Linked DNA regions of Macaca mulatta. Each later gene encodes a partner of the first gene's protein in a complex. Links are inferred from orthologs where the notes say so. Each region holds a gene or a part of one and is shown on either strand. Other genes may lie near its edges. The genes, in order: DLAT and PDK3.

Evidence for each region.
Region 2: the proteins of DLAT (region 1) and PDK3 are in contact, whole or in part, in a crystal structure (PDB 1Y8N), measured with the Homo sapiens proteins. The link is inferred for Macaca mulatta from reciprocal best matches to the Homo sapiens genes DLAT and PDK3. Residues at the interface, in NP_001922.2 of Homo sapiens: Ala225, Leu226, Ser227, Pro228, Thr229, Glu248, Gly249, Lys259, Ala260, Ile262, Glu265; in NP_005382.1 of Homo sapiens: Arg21, Phe22, Ser23, Pro24, Ser25, Pro26, Leu27, Phe48, Lys51, Val55, Asn373, Lys374, Ser375, Arg378.

The regions. Positions count from the first base shown.
Region 1 is NC_133419.1:112,783,691-112,795,133, forward strand, and holds part of DLAT (dihydrolipoyllysine-residue acetyltransferase component of pyruvate dehydrogenase complex, mitochondrial), read left to right. Parts: intron 1-1,911; exon of another isoform or gene 1,912-2,015; intron 2,016-2,829; coding exon 2,830-2,956; intron 2,957-6,326; coding exon 6,327-6,514; intron 6,515-8,311; coding exon 8,312-8,465; intron 8,466-11,443.
Region 2 is NC_133426.1:24,341,996-24,353,438, forward strand, and holds part of PDK3 (pyruvate dehydrogenase kinase, isozyme 3), read left to right. Parts: intron 1-613; coding exon 614-690; intron 691-2,005; coding exon 2,006-2,107; intron 2,108-2,506; coding exon 2,507-2,617; intron 2,618-6,053; coding exon 6,054-6,167; intron 6,168-8,392; coding exon 8,393-8,532; intron 8,533-11,443. UniProt on the Homo sapiens protein: Inhibits pyruvate dehydrogenase activity by phosphorylation of the E1 subunit PDHA1, and thereby regulates glucose metabolism and aerobic respiration. Can also phosphorylate PDHA2.

The DNA.
Region 1 (11,443 bases):
GCCTGGTGTTCAGTTCACACATGTATTACATGCTGTTCGGCAGATTCTCTCTCATGATACAAGACTGACTTAATTTTCCTCTACTTTGTGCCTGTAGCTTTGTGTGCATGTGCTAGGGTTTTACCTTAATTATTCTTTAAGATACTGAATTGAATTCTGAATCTCTGATACTGTTCTTTAAGATCCTGTATAGAGATTATTGACTTCACTGTTGCTTTTTTTTTTTTTTTGAGCCTGTCACCCAGGCTGGAGTGCAGTGGCGCGATCTCGGCTCACTGCAAGCTCCGCCTCCCGGGTTCACGCCATTCTCCTGCCTCAGCCTCCCAAGTAGCTGGGACTACAGGCGCCCGCCACCTCGCCTAGCAAGTTTTTTTGTATTTTTTAGTAGAGACGGGGTTTCATGGTGTTAGCCAGGATGGTCTCAATCTCCTGACCTCGTGATCCGCCCGTCTCGGCCTCCCAAAGTGCTGGGATTACAGGCTTGAGCCACCGCGCCCGGCTGACTTCACTGTTTCTTAAGAAGCAGATGAAGATGGCAAATTCTGAACAAAAAAGGCACTTACAATTTTTTTTCTAAGGCTTGTCTTAATTTTTTCCCCTCTCTGGAAACATCTTCAATTGAAATTATTTTCCCCTCCGCATAAGCCTGTTGCTAATCAGATACAGAAGACAAAGAGGATAGCAAATGAATCCAAATTCAGTGGACACACAAGCCATATAAATAGTAAAGCAATTTTAAATTTAGATAGGCATTCTGGTGTTTGGATTTTATTGGGGTGGAAATGGCTATTATAAAAACAGGGCTTTTTTTCCCCCTGGTTTTTCATTTTTATTTATTTATTTTTTTGAAACAGGGTCTCAGTCCATCACCTACGCTGGAGTGCAGTGGTGCGATTTTGGCTCACTGCAACCTCTGCCTCCTGGGTGCAAGCGATTCTCCTGCCTCAGCCTCCCGAGTAGCTGGGAATACAGGCACACACCACCACGCCTGGCTGTTTTATTTTTTGAGACAGGATCTCACTCTTCACCCAGGCTGGAGCACAGTGGTGCAATCTTAGCTCACTGCAGCCTTGACCTGGGCTCAAGCCATCCTCCCACCTCAGCCTCACAAGAAGCTGTGACTACAGGCACATGCCACCGTGCCCAGCTAATTTTTTTTTTTTTTTATATAGACGAGGTTACACCATGTTGCTCAGGCTGGTCGTGGACTCCTGGGCTCAAGTGATCCTCCTGCATCAGCCTACCAAAACGCTGAGATTGTAGGCATGAGCCATCATGCCTGGTCTTTCCTGTTTTTTTTTTTTTTTTTTTTTTTTGACACAGTCTTGCTCTGTCACCATGGCTGGAGTGTCGTGGCACGATCTCGGCTCACTTCTACCTCTGCGATTCTCATGCCCCAGCCTCCTCAGTAGCTGGGACTACAGGCAGGTGTTACCACGCCCAGCTAATTTTGGTATTTTTAGTAGAGGTAGGGTTTCGCCACTTTGGCCAGGCTGATCTTGAACTCCTGGCCTCAAGTGATCTGCCCCTCCCAAGTGATTCTTGGCCTCCCAAAGTGCTGGGATTACAGATGTGAGCAACTGTGCCTGGCCTCCTCTTTTATTTTTTAAAATGATCATTGCACCACTGCACTCCAGGCTGGGCAACAGAGTAAGACTCCGTCTCAAAAAAAAAAAATTATCAAATAAAATTCTATGTAAGAATTCTATGTATATATATTATATACAACAAGTTCTGAAATATGTATATATTGTGGAATGGCTAAATTGAGCTAATTTATATATGCATTACTTTACAGACTTATCTTTTAGGACACTTAAAAATCTACAAGATTGTAGGAATTTACAAGAATACAATATATTGTTATTAGCTGTTGTCACCAAAGAACAGTTTTTTTTGTTGTTGTTTGTTTTTAATATGGAATGCTTCATGAATTTGTTTGTTGTCCTTGCACAGGAGCCATGCTAATCTTTGTATCGTTCCAAGTTTAGTGTATGTGTTGCTGAAGCGAGCACAGAACAGTTCTTAATATTACATTTTTATCTTGGAAAGATATCTGGGAAGATTGGGACAAATGCAGTTTCCTGTGGGTAAAAAATAAGTAGATGCTAAGTCCAGAGCGCAGTAAAATTTTAACAGAATGGATTGGACCAAGGTCATTTTGTGAAAATGAAAATTTTCTTGGTTAAAAAAAAAATGAAGTCTGGGTGCGGTGGCTCACGCCTATAATCCCAGCACTTGGGAAGGCCAGGGCGGGCAGATTACTTGAGGACAAGTGTTCCGAGACCAGCCTGGCCAATGTGGTAAAACCCCATCTCTACAAAAATACAAAAGTTAGTGGGCATGGTGGCACCTGCCTGTAATCCCAGCTACTTGGGAGGCTGAGGCAGGAGAATCACTTGAATCCAGGAGGTGGAGGTTGCAGTGAGCCGAGATTGTGCCGTTGCACTCCAGCCTGGGTGACAGAGTGAAACTCTGTCTCAAAATAAAAATAAATATAAAAATAAAAATAGATGAAAAGATGCTCCATACTTAGATATTGAGGAATTAATTTTGACTGTCTGAAAGAAATCTTTCCCATCTGCTTGTTGCATTTAACTTGGAGTGTGTGTCAGAGTATGGGTGAGAGTATAAGAGTATGGGTCAGAGTATGAGATTTGAAGGATGATTTACCTGGTGGGAAGCTATTGAGGTGCGAAGCTTTTGCCGTGATGAGTATTTGGATTATCATAGTCACCATCATTCTATGAAAACTATATAAACCTGCCAGACTGTTATTATGTAGAAGTCGTCCTGGTATTAAGCAATAATATGTGTATGTTTCTACAGGTACTTCTTCCTGCCCTCTCTCCCACCATGACCATGGGCACAGTTCAGAGATGGGAAAAAAAAGTGGGTGAGAAGCTAAGTGAAGGAGACTTACTGGCAGAGATAGAGACTGACAAAGCCACTATAGGTGAGATTTCTTCAGCTCTTAATGGTTGAGGCACTGAGTTTCCCAATGAGGAAGAGGATTGCCATTCTTTCCTATAATGAGTGAGTGAGATAATATGAAAACTTTTTAATTCTTAGGATTCATTTCCTGGGACAGAATATTTTATTTCTATTTAGTTATATTTATTCTTAAGTTTTTATTTATTTGTTTATTTGCTTATTTTTGAGACAGGGTCTTAATCTGTTGCCCAGGCTGGAGTGCAGTGGCAAGATCATAGTTCACTATAGCCTCGAACTCCTGGGCTTATACCCAAACGATCCTCCTCCTTTAACCTCCCGAGTAGCTAGGACTACAGGCCTGAACCACCACATCCAGTTGATTTTTAAAATTTTTTGTAGAGATGGGGTCTCACTTTGTTGCCCAGGGTGGTTTTGAACTCCTGGCTCAAGTGATCCTCCTGCCTTGGCCTCCCTAAGTGCTGGGACTCCAAGCGTGAGCCCATGTTCCTGGCTGAGAATAATTTATAACAAAAATAATATTTAGTCAGATTTGTCAGTTCCATCCTGCACTCATTGAATTAAAGGCAATAAATCTGTCAATTCACAGATTATTTTTAGGCCCAAGTTTGCTTCCTAGCCTTATTATGTTACTAAGAAGCTATATCAGAACTGCTGCTGTCTAAACTAGGCAAGGGAATGCAAGAAGAAACAGGAGAAAATCACTTCCATGGCAGGATAATAGGAAAGAATTTAAGATGACTTTGAGGGAAAACTGAAACCAGGGTTGAGATTGTTTTCGTAGTTTGAGAATGACTGATAGAATGTACATGTGTTATATATATATATATTCAGAGATGTCATATGTCCATATATCTCCTTCTTAATTCATTTTTAGACTAAAAAATAAAACCCATATAGACGGTCATATATTTATGATTTTTTTAAATGGATATTTGTAGGTATTATGAATTTTTTCTCTATGCACCTTTTTTTTTTTTTTTTTTTTTTTTTGGAGACAGAGTTTTGCTCTGTTACCCAGGCTTGGGTACAGTGATGCAATCTTGGCTCACTGCAAGCTCTGCCTCCTGGGTTCAAGCAATTCTCCTGCCTCAGCCTCCCAAGTAGCTGGGACTACAGGCATGCACGATAACACCCAGCTAATTTTTTGCATTTTTAGTAGAAATGGGGTTTCACCATGTTGGCCAGGCTAGTCTCGAGCTCTTTGACCTCGGGTGATCTGCCTGCCTCGGCCTCCCAAACTGCTGAGATTACAGGCATAAGCCACCGCACCCGGACACTCTGCTTCATAATCACCACTAAAGGAAAATCTTTCCCAAAGATGTAATGGGAGGTACTGGGCATCCTCTGTTGTGGTTGTTTTCAGATTGTGTTCTTCAAATCCCATCATTCCTTGAAGGCACCTTGGGGCAAAGGGGAAATTAAAGAGCAAGACCTTATAATGCCCTGCCTCCCTCCCTTACTTCCAGTAGAGCAGTTCTTTTTTATCTTTTTGTATTTTGTGCTTCCCCATAAATTTTATTTGAAGAAAGGATTCTGTTTCTTAAAAACACAGAAACTTTGGAAACAATAGTTCTGCTTCACCATTTAACTTGAATACCAGTGTCACTGTAGAGACTGGTCACTAGAGAAGTGTTACCTTGGTTGATCTTTGAAGTCTGTTGTGGCCCAGGATCCTTTTCATTTTAAACATTTTATTTATTTTTGAGATGGAGTCTCACTCTGTTGTCCAGGCTGGAGTGCAGTGGTGCAATCTCAGCCTATCACAACCTCTGCCTCCCGGGTTCAAGCGATTCTCCTGCCTGAGCCTCCCGAGTAGCTGGGACTACAGGTGCGTGCCACCACGCCTGGCTAATTTTTGTATTTTTAGTAGAAATGGGGTTTCACTATGTTGGCCAGGCTGGTCTTGAACTTCTGACCTCGTGATATGCCTGCCTTGGCCTCCCAAAGTCCTGGGATTACAGACGTGAGCCACCACTGCTGCCAGCCTTTTTTTTTTTTTTTTTCTTGAGACAATCTTGCTCTGTCGCCTGGGATGCAGGATGGAGTGCAATGGCATGATCTTGGCTCACTGCATTCTCTGCCTCCCGGGTTCAAGCAATTCTCCTGCCTCAGCTGCCCAAGTAGCTGGGATTACAGGCACCTGCCATCATGCCTGGCTAATTTTTTGTATTTTTAGCAGAGATGGGGTTTCACCATGTTGGCCAGCCTGGTCTTGAACTCCGACCTCAGATGATCCACCCACCTCGGCCTCCTAAAGTGCTGGGATAATAGGCGCGAGCCACCGTGCTCAGCCTTAAATATATATATGTATATATTTTCCTTTTTTTTGAGACGGAGTTTCACTCTTGTTGCCCAGGCTGCAGTGCAATGGCACGATCTCGGCTCACTGCAACCTCCACCTCCTGGGTTCAAGTGATTTTCTGGCCTCAGCCTCCCGAGCAGCTGGGATTACAGGCATGCGCCACCACGCCTGGCTAATTTTATATTTTTAATAGAGATAGGGTTTCTCCACATTGGTCAGGCTAGTCTTGAACTCCCAGCCTCAGGTGACCCACCCACCTTGACCTCCCAAAGTGCTGGGATTACAGGCGTGAGCCACCGCGCCTGGCCTAAAACATATTTTTTATTGGGTATTCTCAGTTGGGAAGTGGAAGGATTCATCAAAGAGAGGCACAACAGTACAGAAAGCCAATGGCTTCTTTTAGTTTTACTTTTGCAATCCTAAATGTTTGAGTTCTTTGCAAGGAAGGCAGTAGTTGAATAAAATGTAAGTTGTCAACACCATAGAAATCCTAGTAAAGCTATAATTCTTCACATTGAAATATTTGGTATAATATCAAGTATAACCTCTTAGAAAAGTTCCAAAGATGCTTTTAGGGCTGAAATCCAACATTAATATCTAGGTTGGTAGCTCCCTTAATTTGGCACGTATGTGGTTCTTATCTTTAGCAGCATAGCTGACTTCCAACTCCATCTTAGAGTCTTGTGAGTCTGCATGGGGGCTATCCTTGGAGATTTTTTAATAACTTTTAGAACTAACCACTATCTGTAATCTTTCATAGTTTTATTGAACACATATTTATTTATCATTTACTTTGGACCAGGTGCTATTTTGTACCAGGTCATATTATTTCTAAGAACTTGAAAAATATTAAATCCGTTTAAATGTATAAACATCCCTGTGAGATTGGCACTATTATTATCCCCATATTATAGGTAAAGAAACCAAGACACAGAAGGTTAAATAGGTTGCAAAAAAGGTTATATAGCTAGCTTGAATGAGAAAAATCATTTTACTTAAAACTGTGCTGTGAGTTTGGAGGGATAGTGGAGTCTCTGAAGTCCCATAATGTTTTTTCTTTCTATTTAAGGTTTTGAAGTACAGGAAGAAGGTTATCTGGCAAAAATCCTGGTCCCTGAAGGCACAAGAGATGTCCCTCTAGGAACCCCACTCTGTATCATTGTAGAAAAAGAGGCAGATATATCAGCATTTGCTGACTATAGGCCAACTGAAGTAACAGATTTAAAACCACAAGCACCACCACCTACCCCACCCCCGGTAGGTATGCTTCTAGAATTCAGGAAACACTTAACCTTGTTTCTCTCTAAATTAAGGAGTTTTGATTAGATGATATCCTAGGTTCCTTCCACCTCCAAGATTCTATGACTAAGGAGGGAGATAGTTGATTAACCTTTGTGGAGACCTATAGTGTTTGTTGTACTGCATTGTTCACCTAATGGTCGATAGTTTGGGCCTTGTAGCTTTTTTTTTTTCTGCCATCCAGAGTCCTGCTGAAAACAAAGCTGAGTGATATGCTGTCTTTCTGCTTTAGATGTAGATATCATGCTTGTGGAAAGTAAGGCTTCATTGCCCCAGCCCTTTTTTTTTTTTTTAAAAGAGACAAGGTCTCACCCTGTCGCCAAGGCTGGAGTGCAGCGGTGCAGTCATAGCTCACTTCATTGCGCGTTTTTTATTAAATATACTGAATAATCTCTGTCACTTGAAATCCTCTTGTTATTCACGTAGTAGGTCAAGCATATATTTCTGATACAGTGGAACCTTGACATGACTTCTTTTGCATAGAATTTATTATATCACAAAATACTTTATAATAAACTATAACATGAACTTGCATTAACTCCAACCAGAGATAACACTGACAGTGAAGCTTCTGCAGATGCTAGAATCGTGAGTTTAAGCTAGGTAAACATTTCTATAAGACAAAAGTTGATTTGTGACTACTGTACATTTGTGGGAAGCTGGCAAGTAGCATTGTTGTTGTATTTCTTTTTTTTGGTTTTGTTTTTTAATTGTTGTTGTTGAGACGGATTCTCACTCCATCGCCTAGGCTGGCTTGCAGTGGCGCGATCTTGGCTCACTGCAGCCTATACCTCCCGGGTTCAAGCCATTCTCCTGCTTCAGCCTCCTGAGTAGCTGGGATTACAGGCGCCAGCCACCATGCCTGGCTAATGTTTTTATTTTTAGTAGAGAAGGGGTTTCACCATGTTGGCCAGGCTGATCATGAACTTCTGACCTCAGGTGATCTGCCCACCTCAACCTCCCAAAGTGCTGGGATTACAGGTATAAGCCACCGTACCTGGCTATATTTTTTAAGATACTTTTCAACATGGGGCCTTACAGCATAATTTTTGTATTTTGAAATTAGCTGGCTGGGTGTGGTGGCTCATGCTGGTAATCCCAGCACTTTGGGAGGCCGAGACGAATGGATCGCTTGAGGTCAGGAGTTTGAGACCAGCCTGGCCAACATGGTGAAACCCCATCTCTACTGAAAATACAAAAAATTAGCTGGTCATGGTGGTGCATGTCTGTAATCCCAGCTACTTGGGAGGCTGAGGCAGGAGAATTGCTTGAACCCAGGAGGCGGAGGTTGCAGTGAGCTGAGATTGCGCCACTGCACTCCAGCCTGGGTGACAGAGCAAGACTCTGTCTCAAAAAAATAAAAGAAAGAAAGATGTTAGGATAATTAAAAATAAAAATTATGTTGGTGATGTAAAAGAATGCAAATAAAGAAGTGGTAAGAGATTAAAGTGAAGAAAGGCCATAGGATACTATACACTGATTGGCAATATTCAGTTCTGTGCTTCTTCATGTTGTTATGGAATAAAGTAACTTTGTTCTGTCTTTGACATAGATGTATATTGTTCTTGCTGTTCGTATTACTACATTATGTTGGTTAAACTGGAGAAAAGTACATTATGATCTTTGGAAAAAAGATGAAAGTTATTAATATTTAATTAAAATAGTTTTAATTTATTAATAAGATGTAAACTTTTAATCTTTCAGACCAATCTTTGAAGTGGTGAATTAAAACAATTTGTAATTTTTTTTCAAAAGGTGGCCACTGTTCCTCCAACTCCTCAGCCTTTAGCTCCTACACCTTCAGCACCCTGCCCTGCTACTCCTGCTGGACCAAAGGGAAGGGTGTTTGTTAGCCCTCTTGCAAAGAAGTTGGCAGTAGAGAAAGGGATTGATCTTACACAAGTAAAAGGTAAATCTGTTTCTATGGAATAGAGTTATAAAGTTAAATTTAGTTGAATTTCCTCCTTAAGACTTGCAAGTATAACTATATATAGCCATACTTATAACTGGGATAGTAGGGACAACTGTTAATAATCACATCAGAAGGGAGAAATAGTTCTTTTGTTGCCACCACAGAGTAGGGAAACTTTTACTGAGCTTTATTTACTCTGCCTAGAATCTACCCATATACTTTAGATACCTTTTTTTTCCCTCTTCTCTTCATGGAAACTACTTGTTTGAAAGTATATGTACTTGTTCAGCAAAATTGGGTTATGGGACTTGATTGTGTAATAAGAAACCTCTGTTAGTGCTAGGTTGACTGTAGTAATAAGCAAAGCAAAATAAAATTTGAAATTGGGGTGATTTGGAATGACTTAAAATGATAAACTTCATATAAAACAGAACTAGAGCTCCCTGAAGGCAAGGGGAAATGCCTTACTTGTCTGTCTGTCCCCAAAGAAAAAATATAGCTTTGTGATAAGAACATGGGGCCTGGAATCAGACCACCTAGCGTTTCATCCTGGCTTTATAATTTTCTATGTAATCTGTTTTCCAGTGAATTACTTAAATTGTATGTCCTTATGTCAATTACTTTTCTAGCCATAAAACCGAGGTATTGTACATCATATAGATTGTGAGAGTTAAATGAGCTATAACAGGTGAAGTGCCTAGAACTGTTATCTAGCATATAAGTACTCAATACATGTTTGTTGTCATTCATATTGATATTATTGCCTGGCGCTTAAGTAAGTTTTTTTGAGTTAAACCTAAGCTAAAATTTAGTGTAGGATAACTAAGGTACTTATTTGGAAAAGGAGGGAAGTTATTATTCTTGGAACTTGGTTTGATGGCTAGTACTATGTGCCAGTCATTTAACTTATCATACTTAATGTACACAACACTTCTTGAAGTAAGAATTATCATTCCCTATTTTCTGGATAAGAAAACAGACTCTCAGACTCTTCAGGGTTCTTTTTTCCTGTTAAATAGTAAAGTTGCAGTGTGACTCTAGATTTGTTTAACTCTAAAGCCTGTTTCTTCACACTACCCTATCCTGCCTTCCATTCTGATGCTCTGCCATCTGTAATTACTAAAGAAAAATATGCTTATTTCCCCAGTTGTCTAGTTATGGGTGCTCAGTGGTGGTTATCCCCTATCTGCAATTTGCTGTCTTGTAGTTAGAAGGCAAGCCAATCCCAAGACACAAGAGTAGAATGTTGTAAAGTTTTTGGACTTTAGAGATTCTTATAATATTGGAAGACTCTTTTTTTTTTCCATCTTAGTACCATTTCGGTAGTATATTCCTATTCTTTATATATGATTAGAATCAGGGACAGCAGTGTAAGTTGGAATAACTTTTAAAGGGAGAAAGGACTGGGTTAATAATTATATCTAAAGAATTTAGACAAGCAAAGAAGGACCATTTATTAGATATTAAGCAATACTGGTTACCTTACTAAAGATATAAGTGGAAAATCCCTTAGGCATGAGCTGAGGAGGAGTGTTAAGAAAAAAAAGAAGGAAAGAAAATCCCACTATTCTTACTATGCAGGCAGAGTTAGGTGGTAAATACCATCGAATACTATCTACGCATCAGACACTCGTTCATCAGATGGATAAGATTTCAGTTTCAGTTGCTTATATGACTAACAGTAAAGAATTAAATGAACAGAAAGGGAGTATAGCATAGTGGTTAAAAGTGTGAGCTGTGTAGCTGGAGTGCTTGGGTGTGAACCTCAGCTCCTTATACTAGCTGTGTGACCTTTTGTGTTGGTTTCTATATAAGTACAGTAGGTTTAATGGTTGTGAGGTTTAAATAAGTTAACCAGTGCCTGTACAGAGAAAGCATGTCTAGGTATTAGCTATAATGATAATATTTTTGTTAATAAGATGATTTAAGTGCTAAGAAAGAAAGAAACTCAGTGATATACTAGTGAGTGAAAGGGTGGATGGATATTTGTGCAGTCATGACTACTTTTAGACAGGGTGGTTGGGAGATCTTTTTGATGAGGTGACATTTGATTTGATCTGAAAGATAAGAAGGAGGCGGTTTCAGTCAACCATGTGAAGAACTGGGGAAAGATCGTTTTAGATAGAGAGACTAGCTGTACACAGTCCGAAATGGGAAAGAGTTTAGCATGTCTGAGGAACATAAAAGAGGCCAGTGTTGGCCGGGCGTGGTGGCTCACGCCTATAATCCCAGCACTTTGGGAGGCCGAGGCGGGCGGATCATAAGGTCGGGAGATGGAGACCATCCTGGCTAATACGGTGAAACCCCGTCTCTACTAAAAATACAAAAAAAATTAGCCGGGCACAGTGGCAGGCACCTGTGGTCCCAGCTACTTGGGAGGCTGAGGCAGGAGAATGGCGTGAACCCTGGAGGCCGAGCTTGCAGTGAGCTGAAATCGTGCCACTGCACTCCAGCCTGTGCGACAGAGTGAGACTCCATCTCAAAGGAAAAAAAAAACCAGAGGCCAGTGTTAATGAAACATAATGAGCAAAGGGTCTAGTAGGAGATGAGATTGGAAAAAAACAGGGATGAGAACATACATGATCTTATAGATTATGGTAAAGAGTTTGAATTTTATTTAAAGTACTTGAGGAAGCCATTGAAAAATTTAAGCAAGGAAGTGAAATAAAATGATTGTGTTTTAAAAAGATCATTTTGGTTGCTCTATGGCAGTGGATGAAACATTTATCTAGTTTATGTTTGACAAAATCCCTACTTTTTTTACCTATAGCCCAGTGTTCTTCCCTTTATACCATATTACTGTATGATGGCCTGTTGTGCCGCCCAAGAGAGATAGGGAAAAGGGTTTAAAAGGTTTCAACTAACGCCTGAGTCAGGAAATTCTTGTGGGTGGCAGAAGCTTAGCATAAGGCAGGCGGTACTATGGATTTCCTCCTCTTGAGGGGCTGTGGTGTCTAGATCAGCCTTGGTTGTAA
Region 2 (11,443 bases), on another chromosome or scaffold:
CTTGACCCGGGTTTTGGTGTTTCTCAGATTTTCTTCAGACGATCCATGGTGCAAGGGGAAAAAATCGTAGGTCTCTAGGGGTTTATCTGCTAGCTGCTTGAGAAAAAGTTACGTGAACCTTACATTCTATGCTATAAGATGTCTTGTTTGTCATAATTTAACAAAATTGAACACTGCCATTTAGTCCAGTTCACCAGCCCTTTGTTTATTTTCCCTGTTGCTCCACATTCCCCATGGAATTCCCCCTGGGGTCAGTGGCAGAAGGTAGCCCCCAATTTGAAAAACACCCAGTGATATCTGTCTGGCCTTCTGTAATACTCAGGATATTATGGCCTAGGTGATAATATTCCAATTCTGCTCAACAAAGTTTCAAAGAGATTGAGTGATTTATCCAAGGTCACATAGCTGGTAAGTGAAGGAACGGGGTTTCACCCCAGGTTTGTTTGATTCCAAAGCATATGCTTTTGCTCAGCCCTGCCTTTAGAGGTGGAAACCCAAGTTAGCCTTTTATAGAGCTGTGTTTTACACACTTGGAAAATAGAGTGCAAACATCATTCTTGAGTTTCTCCTAGTTTGGGTCCTTATTGATTGATGGTTTTGTCTCTGTTTTCAGCCAAAGCGCCAGACAAACCTATTCAGGTGGTTTATGTGCCCTCACATCTGTTTCATATGCTATTTGAGTTGTTCAAGGTAAGTGGAATTTTAAAAACATGGAAAGAAGTCTTCATTTTAAATTACTTTGATTCAGAGCATAATGGATTCATTAGATTAGCATAAGAAAAAGGTTTTGCATAACCATTTTAAAAATTCTATTTCTGATATCCTGTGGGTTTTATAATTTGTACACTGTGAGATGAAAAATTGCTGTGTACAGTATAGTTTTTGTGAATATTAGTACATATCGATTTTGAAGCTTAATTGCACTTTAGTGATTTTATGTAAAATCCATACTGTTTTTTTCTTTGGTTATGAGATTAGAGATGCTTTTTAGTTTCCAAACCTGGCAAAGGCTTTATTGGTGGTAGCCAGATCAAAATAAAAACATGTTTATACATATTTATGCTTCTGAAAATTAACCACACTGGTACATTAGTGGTTGTTCCAATCCTGAGAGATCCTGCAACCCTTTTATAAAATATTTGAATCAATTCAGAAGATCCAAGAGAGGCAGAGAAAGATGTAGATGAGCTGGACCAAAAGAACCAGCCCCCACCACCCCACCAAATTCTTTAGACTCTGCAACTTAAGCTGTTGCTTTTGTTAATCAGTAGCTAATGACATTTACAGTAGCAGTATTACAGGCACAAGGCATTTGAGCTAAAATTTCATTTCTTCCAATGCGTGAAACACTAAATTTGAACACCTGAAAAATCAGTTATGCTGATTTGCTTCCAAAAATTAGAGTGTTACTGATGTAATGCTTTAAGGTTGAAATGGGCATTCAATTGTGAACTTTCTCTTCAGCAGCTGTGGCTTTTTCAGAATTTCTTTTTAACCAATATTTCTTCTACTTTTTTCAGCCAAATGATTAATTTTTGTGGGAAGCATGCATCCTTTCAGTTTTTCTGCCTCCTTTAGAGAAAAGGTGCTCTATAAATGCAGACTGATAAATAGGATTTAAAGTACACAAATGAGCCTCTGCATAGCCTCATTACATGCGATAAAAACATTCCTCTGGATTGAGTTGAATAATTTAAATACCGTAAAGCAAAAAAAAAAAAAAAAAAAAAAAAAAAAAAAAAAAAAAAAGAAGAAGAAGGAGAGAAAAATAAATATTTAGCATGTTGGATGAGGCTAAAACTAGGTGAAAAACAAAGTGTCAGGAAATTTTTCCTTGATTTGAGCACATTTAGCTAAGCTCTTTAGAGGGAAAAGTGCCATAAAAATCCAACTAATATTTGCCCCAAAAAAGGGTTGTTGGGTATAAGTCATGCACTTCTTTCTCTTTAAAAATTGTGGTTTGTGATTCGGCAGTATGATTAACAAAAAGATCTTATTATTTTAGAACTCAATGAGAGCGACAGTCGAACTCTATGAAGACAGAAAAGAGGGCTACCCCGCTGTTAAAACCCTCGTTACTTTGGGTAAAGAAGACTTATCCATTAAGGTAACTGTTTTATGCGCATGTATACTTTAATTATCAGTTGTGATTTAATAGTATCTAGACATTGAAAAATCAGAGGGAAGAAAATTGACATTTATTGAGTGTCCTATTTGTAAGTTCTATGCTAGATCCTTGGCTTAAGTTACCTTATTTAAACTTCATTAGAACCTTGTTATTCATGGAGTTGAACAAGACCTCAACACCAAGCCTGTTGGATCCTACTGTACCATTCGGCCACCTTTGCTTTACACTGTTCACAAAGGAACCATATGTCACTGGGGATTCAAAGTCCTTGTACATTTTGGAGTAATCTGCTATGTACTTTATTTAATGAACCCATTGCCTCCTACTAAGTATAGATCAACTTCTTTGTTTTGATTGTTAACATTTTGTACATTGCAGATCAGTGACCTAGGCGGTGGTGTTCCACTTCGAAAAATAGATCGTCTTTTTAACTACATGTATTCGACTGCTCCTAGACCCAGCCTGGAGCCTACCAGAGCTGCCCCTTTGGTAAGCATCTCAAACTGCTGCTGAAGGAAAGATCATAAACACGGGAAGGGGCTCAGAGGGAGCTGCCTCTCTCCCCAGGTTGTCACATTAGTGTAGTTGATTTAGAATGTTGCAGTTTGGAGGAGGGGGAATTTTTTGCCTTGGCTACTTTCTTTGTACTTCTATTTCCTCTCTGATTTATCTCTAAGAAACACTCCGAGCTGAGTGCCTCACTCCCAAATACAGAGAAAAAGTACCTCATCGTGGTAAGACTGCTACTGGAGCACCATTTTCCACTTTGTGCTACCCTTGGCAGGGGTAGAAGTTACCAGTGGGTGAGCAAAGGGACAGTACTGAATGCATAGCTGCCGCTTGGTCCTGCACACTCTGGCGTGCATACCACAGAGGCGCGAATCACCTAGTGCCTTGGAATCTCCACTGTCAAATTTGTTTATATAATTAAAATGTTAAATTATGGAAACATTAAATTTTTATATTAAATAACATTAGCATGAAACATATAGGTGGTGTATGCGTTTTCAGAGCCCTTTCTGTCTCACTCTGGAAATAACCTTCAGCCCTATTAAGGCAGTGAGAAAAGCCTCTGGTTACCATGGTAGCATTTAGATCCTGGTAGGGCCACACTTGCTTCCCCTGCTGAGTGTTTCTAATTGACAAACAACAATTGAACCCTTTGTCATTAAACACAGCAACATATCTATCAGTCTGCAAAATGGTTCAGGGTATAAATTAAGTTTCATTTTAAAGTCCTACCTGACTGATAAGCACATAAGATTATATTTTATTTGTATTAATAAAATCAAACACTTTGCATCCTTTATTTGAGACAGAGTTTGTTAACTCAGCATGTTGGAAACAGGAAATCATTTATATAGGATTTGAGAAAATTCATGAAAGATCACGTTTGAGAGGCATTGCCTTGACTAGGCTCTGGCATGCACTTAAATACACATCAAAAGGAAAAAAGGCAGCACAAACAAATGTAGCACCTTCCCCAGTTGTTTAAAAGAAATATAGATTGTCTCTTCCAGGTCTTAAAATAGCATCTTGAGGAACTGGGGACTTGTAAGAGACCTTTAAAAATTACGCACGCACACTCCCATTGTAGAGATGAGGAAATGAGGAAATGACCTTGCCCAAAGTCATTGAACTAATTAACTGCAGAGCTGGTGCTGGCCATGTCTGTGTTCTTTCCAGTGTACTATGTGGCCTTTCCTTTTGAAGAAATGCTTCCACTAGTGGCTCTCCCAGTTAAGAAACTGGCCTGTAATCCTAGCACTTTGGGAGGCCAAGGCGGGTGGATCACTTGAGGTCAGGAGTTCGAGACCAGCCTGGCCAACATGGTGAAACCCGGTCTCTACTAAAAATACATGAAAATAGTCAGGAGCAGTGGCGCACGCTTGTAATCCCGGCTACTCAGGAGGCTGAGGCACAAGAATTGCTTGAACCTGGGAGGTGGAGGTTGCAGTGAGCCAAGATTATGCCACTACACTCCAGCCTGGACGACAGAGCGAGACTCTGCCTCAAAAAAAAAAAAAAAAAAAGAAAAAGAAAAAGAAACTCTCCTCAGCTTTAAAGTGGGCACATGGATATGTACTACTAGAAAACATAATTTCCTCATTGAGCAACTTGCATTTTTACACCTCTGTGCCTTTACACGTGCATTTCTGTTGTGAGAATATCCACCCAGCGAACTCCTGCTGATGCTTTGACCGTCTGGGAAACCTTTCCTGAACCTCAGCCAATCCGAGGTCCAGACCCCTCCTCTGCACTCTGGGAGTCTGGGCTTACACTCACATCTGCATTGGCCTCGGAGCTCTCGCCTGTTCTGTGTTGGACCTGAGGGCAGGCTCTGGGCCTTGCTTGAGCATAGAAGGCAGATTTCCTCACATCTCTTCCTAGAGTGAGCTAGTTTCTTTGCTCTGGTTACCTGAGTCACTACTATAGATATCTCATCTTCACTACTGGCCATATTCAGCAAGTCCTAAAGCCCTCAAATAATGGAGTATGTTCTTTTACCCTCTGCCCTTTCAGTTAGACGCTACCCTGAGAGGAGGTATCAAGGAGAGATGTTAGAAAAGGGCAGAAATCCATGTAACTTCATAAAATTGCTGCTCCCAGTAGCTAGAGTACCAGCTTTGATTTATTTAGTTTTACTGTGGTAAGCACTGTGCCAAGATTTGATACTTGTTATATTATTTAATCCTTATAGCAGCTCTGAGGTCAGTTTTTTTTAAAATCATATATTCAGATGAAAAATCGGTCTCAAAGAGGTTGAGCAAACTGCTCAGAGTCACACAGAAAGTGGATTTCAACTTGGGTCTATCTGAGTCTAAGGCCCATGTGACTCTATGCACATGGTCCCCTGCCCTCCTTCCTTAACCTTGTTCATAGATTTAACCAGAAGTGAGGAAGCTTGGTGTTAAAATATCTCCTTCCACACCCTGCCCCACTGCCACTGCAAACGGTATTACATTTAGTTTCGATTCGTATTGTTCTTGTCCATACCTGAGACCTTTTTTTTTCTCCCTGAACACCTGTTATTGACAGTCAGAGTTCCATGACATAGAGATATAGGAAGGTACTGAAAATTTTTTTTAATCTCTAAAAATATCTGAACTATAATATACCAAAATATTCTCACATTCCCGGAACCTTAGAAGTTGCCTCTCAGAAAATTGTTTTCCTTTCCGTGTTCTCATCTTGTTACTGGTAGATTTGCACTCAGCACTGCGCTATTGATTTTCACTTCTAAGAGCAGGGAAATCTGATCATGGGACGTTGAAATGATGTGGTTTAGTTCTGTCATCAGGTCACATTCCTCTTGATTTGGAATGTGCTTTTTTTTTTTTTTTTCTTTTGTGGAGATGGAGTCTCGCTCTGTCACCCAGGCTGGAGTGCAGTGGCACCATCTCAGCTCACTGCAACCTCCACCTCCCAGGTTCAAGCGATTCTCCTGCCTCAGCCTCCTGAGTAGCTGGGACTACAGTCTCCCACCACCTCGCCCAGCTAATTTTTGTAGTAGAGACGGGGTTTCGCCATGTTGGCCAGGCTGGTCACGAATTCCTGACCTCAAGTGATCTACCTGCCTCAGCCTCCCAAAGTGCTGGGATTACAGGTGTGAGCCACCGTGCCCAGCCTTGGAATGTGCTTTTTAAAAATGATAAAACTTTGCTTTTAAATGCTAAAAAAGTATTAGTCAAAAAATAGAATATTTTTATTATTATCCAAACATGTAAGACATGTTTTTGCAGGGTGAAAATAAAGAGGTTGTTTGCCATAGAAGAGGATATACATCATTGTAAAGGTTGAGTCAGTAATTTCTTTGATTTACATCTGAATCAAGAATTTATTTTAACCTTCTCTGAATGGTCATCATATAAAATGTGTTAGCATTTGTGCCTGTCTCACTGTATTAATTTTCTTTTCTCAATAGGCTGGATTTGGTTATGGTTTGCCAATTTCCCGTCTGTATGCTAGATATTTTCAAGGAGATCTGAAACTGTATTCCATGGAAGGAGTGGGTACTGATGCTGTCATTTATTTGAAGGTACTGCATTTTATTTGTTAGTATGAGGCATCTTTGCTTTTTAAAGCTTTAAGTTCTAATCGCTGATTGAGAATAGCGATCGTCTCTTAGATTCATCTCAGATTTACTTCACTTACCCATGAAAACCATGTTATGCCTCACCCTTGATTCTATGCTCAGGTATAGCAAAATATGAAACGTGGAGGTATAGAAATTAAAATACTGATTTTGGCCAGGCACGGTGGCACAGGCCTGTAATCCCAGCACTTTGGGAGGCTGAGGTGGGCGGATCACCTGAGGTCAGTAGTTCGAGACCAGCCTGGCCAACATGGTGAAACCCCATGTCTACTAAAAATACAAAAAATTAGCTGGTGTGGTGGTGCACGCCTCTAGTCCCAGCTTCTCAGGAGGCTGAGGCAGGAGAGTCACTTGAACCCGCGAGGCAGAGGTTGCAGTGAGCTAAGATGGTGCCGCTGTACTCTAGCCTGGGCGATAGAATGAGACTCCGTCTCAAAAGAGAAAAAAAAAATTAAAATGCTGATTTTTAAAACCGTAATTTTAAATTGTGACTTAAAAAACTGCATGGCTGTTGAAAGATCTGATCTAAAAGGAGGTCGATTTTCATAAACTGAAGTATTTTGGTCTTTGGTTTTAAAAACTCACTGGCTTTCCCAAAGTTACAAGAATTCAGTAATCATAATATAGTTAGATAAAAGGTTCATTTCATAACAAACTTCTCTGTAACACTCTTTCTTATTCATTGGTGGTAATTGGACTTTTATTTCTAAACTCTAGAATATTTGTAACGTTTTTTTGAATAGGTAATATAGACACATAATAAAAATTTAAAAGCCGCAAAAGGAAAAATTAGTCTCTCCTCCCACTGGCCCTAAACCACCAGTTCTCTTCAGCGGAGATCACCACAGGTCTTAGCGTCTTACGGTTCCTCCTAGAGTTGATTCTACATTTATAAATATGGGGAAAATAGAATTTTTCCCACATAAATGAAATTTCAGCACCTTCTTATTTTTTTTACTTTCCAATCTGTCTTGGAGATCTTTCCAGAACAGTTTATGTAGAACTGGCTCATTCTTTTAAACAGTGGCATAACATGCTACTGTGGATCAAGCATCCCTAACCCAAGAATCTGCCATCTAAAATGCTTGAAAATCTGGAACTTTTTGAGCGCCAATGTGATGCTTGCTCAAAGGTCAAGCTTAAAGGAAATGCTTATTGGAGCACTCCAGATTTCAGATTTTCAGATTAGGGATGCTTAACAGGTAAACACAATGCAAATATTCCAAAATCGGAAAAAATCAGAACTACTTCTGGTCCCAAGCATTTCTTTGTTTCTTTCCTTCCTTCTTTTCTTTTCTTTTCTTTTCTTCTCTTTTCTCTCTTCTCTCTTTTCTTTTCTCTCTCTTCTCTTCTCTTCTCTTCTCTTCTCTTCTCTTCTCTTCTCTTCTCTTCTCTTCGACGGACCCTCGCTCTGTCACCCAGGCTGGAGTGCAGTACCGCCATCTCGGCTCACTGCAACCTCCGCCTCCTGGGTTCAAGCTATGCTCCTGCCTCAGCCTCCTGAGTAGCTGGGATTGCAGGTGCGTGCCACCACACCTGGCTAATTTTTTTGTATTTTTAGTAGAGACAGGGTTTCACCATGTTGGCCAGGCTGGTTTCTAACTCCTGACCTCAGGTGATCCACCTGCCTCAGCCTCCCAAAGTGCTGGGATTACAGGTGTGAGCCACTGTGTCCGGCCTGTTCCCAGGCATTTCAAAGGGATACTCAACCTGTGTATGTGACACCAGAATTTAACCAGTTATTGGGAGTATTTATCTTAGATGCCCATGCCTCTAAGTAATGTGATATTTAATAGCACTTGATGGTGTGTGTTTATAAACCTGGGATGCATGAGACTATTTCTTCCTGGGCCCTTTGTGAGACCAATCACCACGTATAGTAAAAACAGTTGAGCATCTCAAAGCAGTATGAGCTGAATTAAAATATGTTTTGTTCTGGTCATGTGTATTTCAGTTCTGATTTTGAATGAGCAAATGTTTTCATTCCCTTAAAAAAGCTTTGATATTTTCCTGGCCAGTCTAAGTAAACTACTAAGGTGTATTTTTAATATCATTTTGAAAATATGTATTAAGGTTTCTGATGTTTTACATAATAAAATTTGGGTTACTATTTCACTTGAGAAAATGACACTGTGGACCTTTGATGTATATTTTTGTTTCTCCAATAGGCTCTTTCAAGTGAGTCATTTGAGAGACTTCCAGTTTTTAATAAGTCCGCATGGCGCCATTACAAGACCACGCCTGAAGCCGACGATTGGAGCAATCCCAGCAGTGAACCCAGGGATGCTTCAAAATACAAAGCGAAACAGTAATATACCACTTTGATTTCCATTACAAAGTATCTGATTTGTCTGAGTAAAGGTGTCCCACTCACTGTTCTAGGAATTCTTACACTGTAGAGGTATTCACAACAGTGAGCAGGGATTTGACCTGCCATGAATTTTATTTAAAAAGCAATTAAATTTGCAGTTTGTCATCATAAACGTTAGAGGTTGAAAATGAAAAATAAGTTAAAATGATCAGTCAACATAAAAGGTGATCAGTTCATGCGATGGAATAATATTTGGCCTTAAAAAGGAAGGACATTCTGATATGTGCTACAACATGGGTGAATCTTGAAGTCATTATGCTAAGTGAAATAAGCCAGACATAAAAGGACAAATACTATGATTCTACTTATGTGGGGTACCTAGAGTAGTCAAATGCAGAGACACAAAGTTGAAGGGAGGTTGCCAGGTGCTAGCGAGGAAGAGGGAATGGGGAGTCATTGTTTCATGGGTACAGAGTTTCAGGTGGAAAGATGAAAAACTTCTGGAGATGGATGGTGGTGATGCTTGCACAACAGCGTGAATGTACTCAATGCCACTGAACTGTACGTGTAGCAATGGTTAAGATGGTAAGTTCTGGGCTGGGTGTGGTGGCTCACGCCTGTAATCCCAACACTTTGGGAGGCTGAGGCTGGATGATCTCTTGAAGCCAGGAGTTCGAGACCAGTCTAGGCAACATAGTGAGACCCCGTCTCAGCAAAAAATTTAAAAAGGTAAAATTAGCCAGGTGTGGTGTGTGTCTGTAGTCCTAGCTACTCAGGAGGCTGAGGCGGGAGGATCACTTGAGCCCAGGACTTCCAGGCTGTAGTGAGCTATGATTTGCACCACTGCACACCTGCCTGGGGGACAGAAAAGACCGTGTCTCAAACAAGAAAAAGATGGTAAGTTCTATGTTATGTGTAGCTTATCACAATAAAAAATTTAAACATTATAAAGGAAAAGTTATCAATCACAGAAGAAGTTTCACTGTTTTATGGTAATAAGGAAAATAATCTGTAGTTTTCTTCTGACTACCTACCCTTAAGCTTCAACTCTACTAGCAACAGTAGGGTTCTGCTTCATTTAACTTAAAATAATCCTGTATTAACAAAAAAGCAGTATATGTGCATTATAAAAAAATAAGAAAACGTTGTCTGGGCGCAGTGGCTCATGCCAGTAATCCCAGCACTTTGAGAGGCTGAGGTGGATGGATCACTTGAAGTCAGGAGTTCAAGACCAGCCTGGCCAATATGGGGAAACTTGGTCTCTACTAAAAATACAAAAATTAGCTGGGTGTGGTGGCACGTGCCTGTAATTCCAACGACTTGGGAGGCTGAAGCAGGAGAATTGCTTGAACCCAGGAGACGGAGGTTGCAGTGAGCCAAGATAGTACCACTGCACTCCAGCCTGGGTAATAGAGCTAGACTCCATCTCAAAAAAAAAGAAAGAAAAGAAAAAATAGAAGACATAAGTAAGCCAAAAAAGAAAGGAGAGACCTCTGTGTTCCCAAAACCCAGACATTGCCACTGCTATAGCTTCTGTATGTTCTTCCAGACATTTTGCCATTTGTGTATATATGTATTTTTTTGCAAATGACATTACACTATTCATACTGTTTTACAACCTGCTTTTGTTTCATTTAACCATCCCATCTTTCCATGTCAATAATCATTCACCTGATTTGTCTAAACCGAGATCTCTATTCCAGGACCACATAACACATCTGGGTAGTCTCAAGTTGTTGTTATTGTCTTTTAATTTAAAAAAGTTTTGTGGGTACATAGTAGGTGTATATATTTCTGGGGTACGTGAGATGTTGTGATACAGGCATGCAAAGTGAAATAAGCACGTCACGGAGAATGGGGCGTCCATCCCCTCAAGCATTTATCCTTTGAGTTACAAACAATCCAATTACATTCTCTAAGTTATTTCAAAATATACAATTAAGTTATTGTTGACTGTAGTCACCCTATTGTGCTATCAAATAGTAGGTCTTTTTCATTCTTTCTATTTTTTTGTACCCATTGACCATCCCCACTTCTCCTCAACCCTCCCACTACCCTTCCCAGCCTCTGGTAACCATTCTTCTACTCACTGTGTCCATGACTTCAATTACTTTGGATTTTAGATTCCACAAATAAGTGAGAACATGTGAAGTTTATGTTTTTGCGCCTGGCTCATTTTACTTAGCATAATGACTTCTAGTTCTATCCATGTTGTTGCGAATGACTGGATTTCATTCTTTTTTATGGCTGAATAGTACTCCATTGTATGTGTGTCTGTGTATATATGTGTATATACACACACACACACACACACACACACACATATATATACACACACATACACATCACATTTTCTTTATCCATTCATCTGTTGATGGATACTTAGGTTGCATTTCGTTATTGAGAGACCATGCCAGTTGTCCTGAAAAAGTATCCTACCTTGATTTGTTTAATTTCTTCTTTGAAATGTCATTTAGCTTATTCCCCATTCCCTGTATTTTCTATAAATTGGGAGTTCATTACAAGCTAATGGCGGCTGGGTGCGGTGGCTCATGCCTGTAATCCCAGCACTTTGGGGGACCGAGGTGGGCAGATCACTTGAGGTCAGGAGTTCGAGACCAGCCTGGACAACATGGCAAAACCCTGTCTCTACTAAAAATACAAAAATTAGCCAGGCGTGGTGGTGCACGCCTGTAATCCCAGCTACTCAGGTGGCTGAGGAATGAGAATCACTTGAAGCCAGGAGGCAAAGGTTGCAGTGAGCTGAGAATGTGCCACTGCACCCCAGCCTGGGCGACAGAGTGAGACTCTGTCAAAAAAAAAAAAAAAGAAAGAAAGAAAAAGAAAGAAAGAGAAAGAAAGAAAGAGAAAGAAAAGAAAAAGAAAGAAAAAGAAAGAAAGAAAAAGA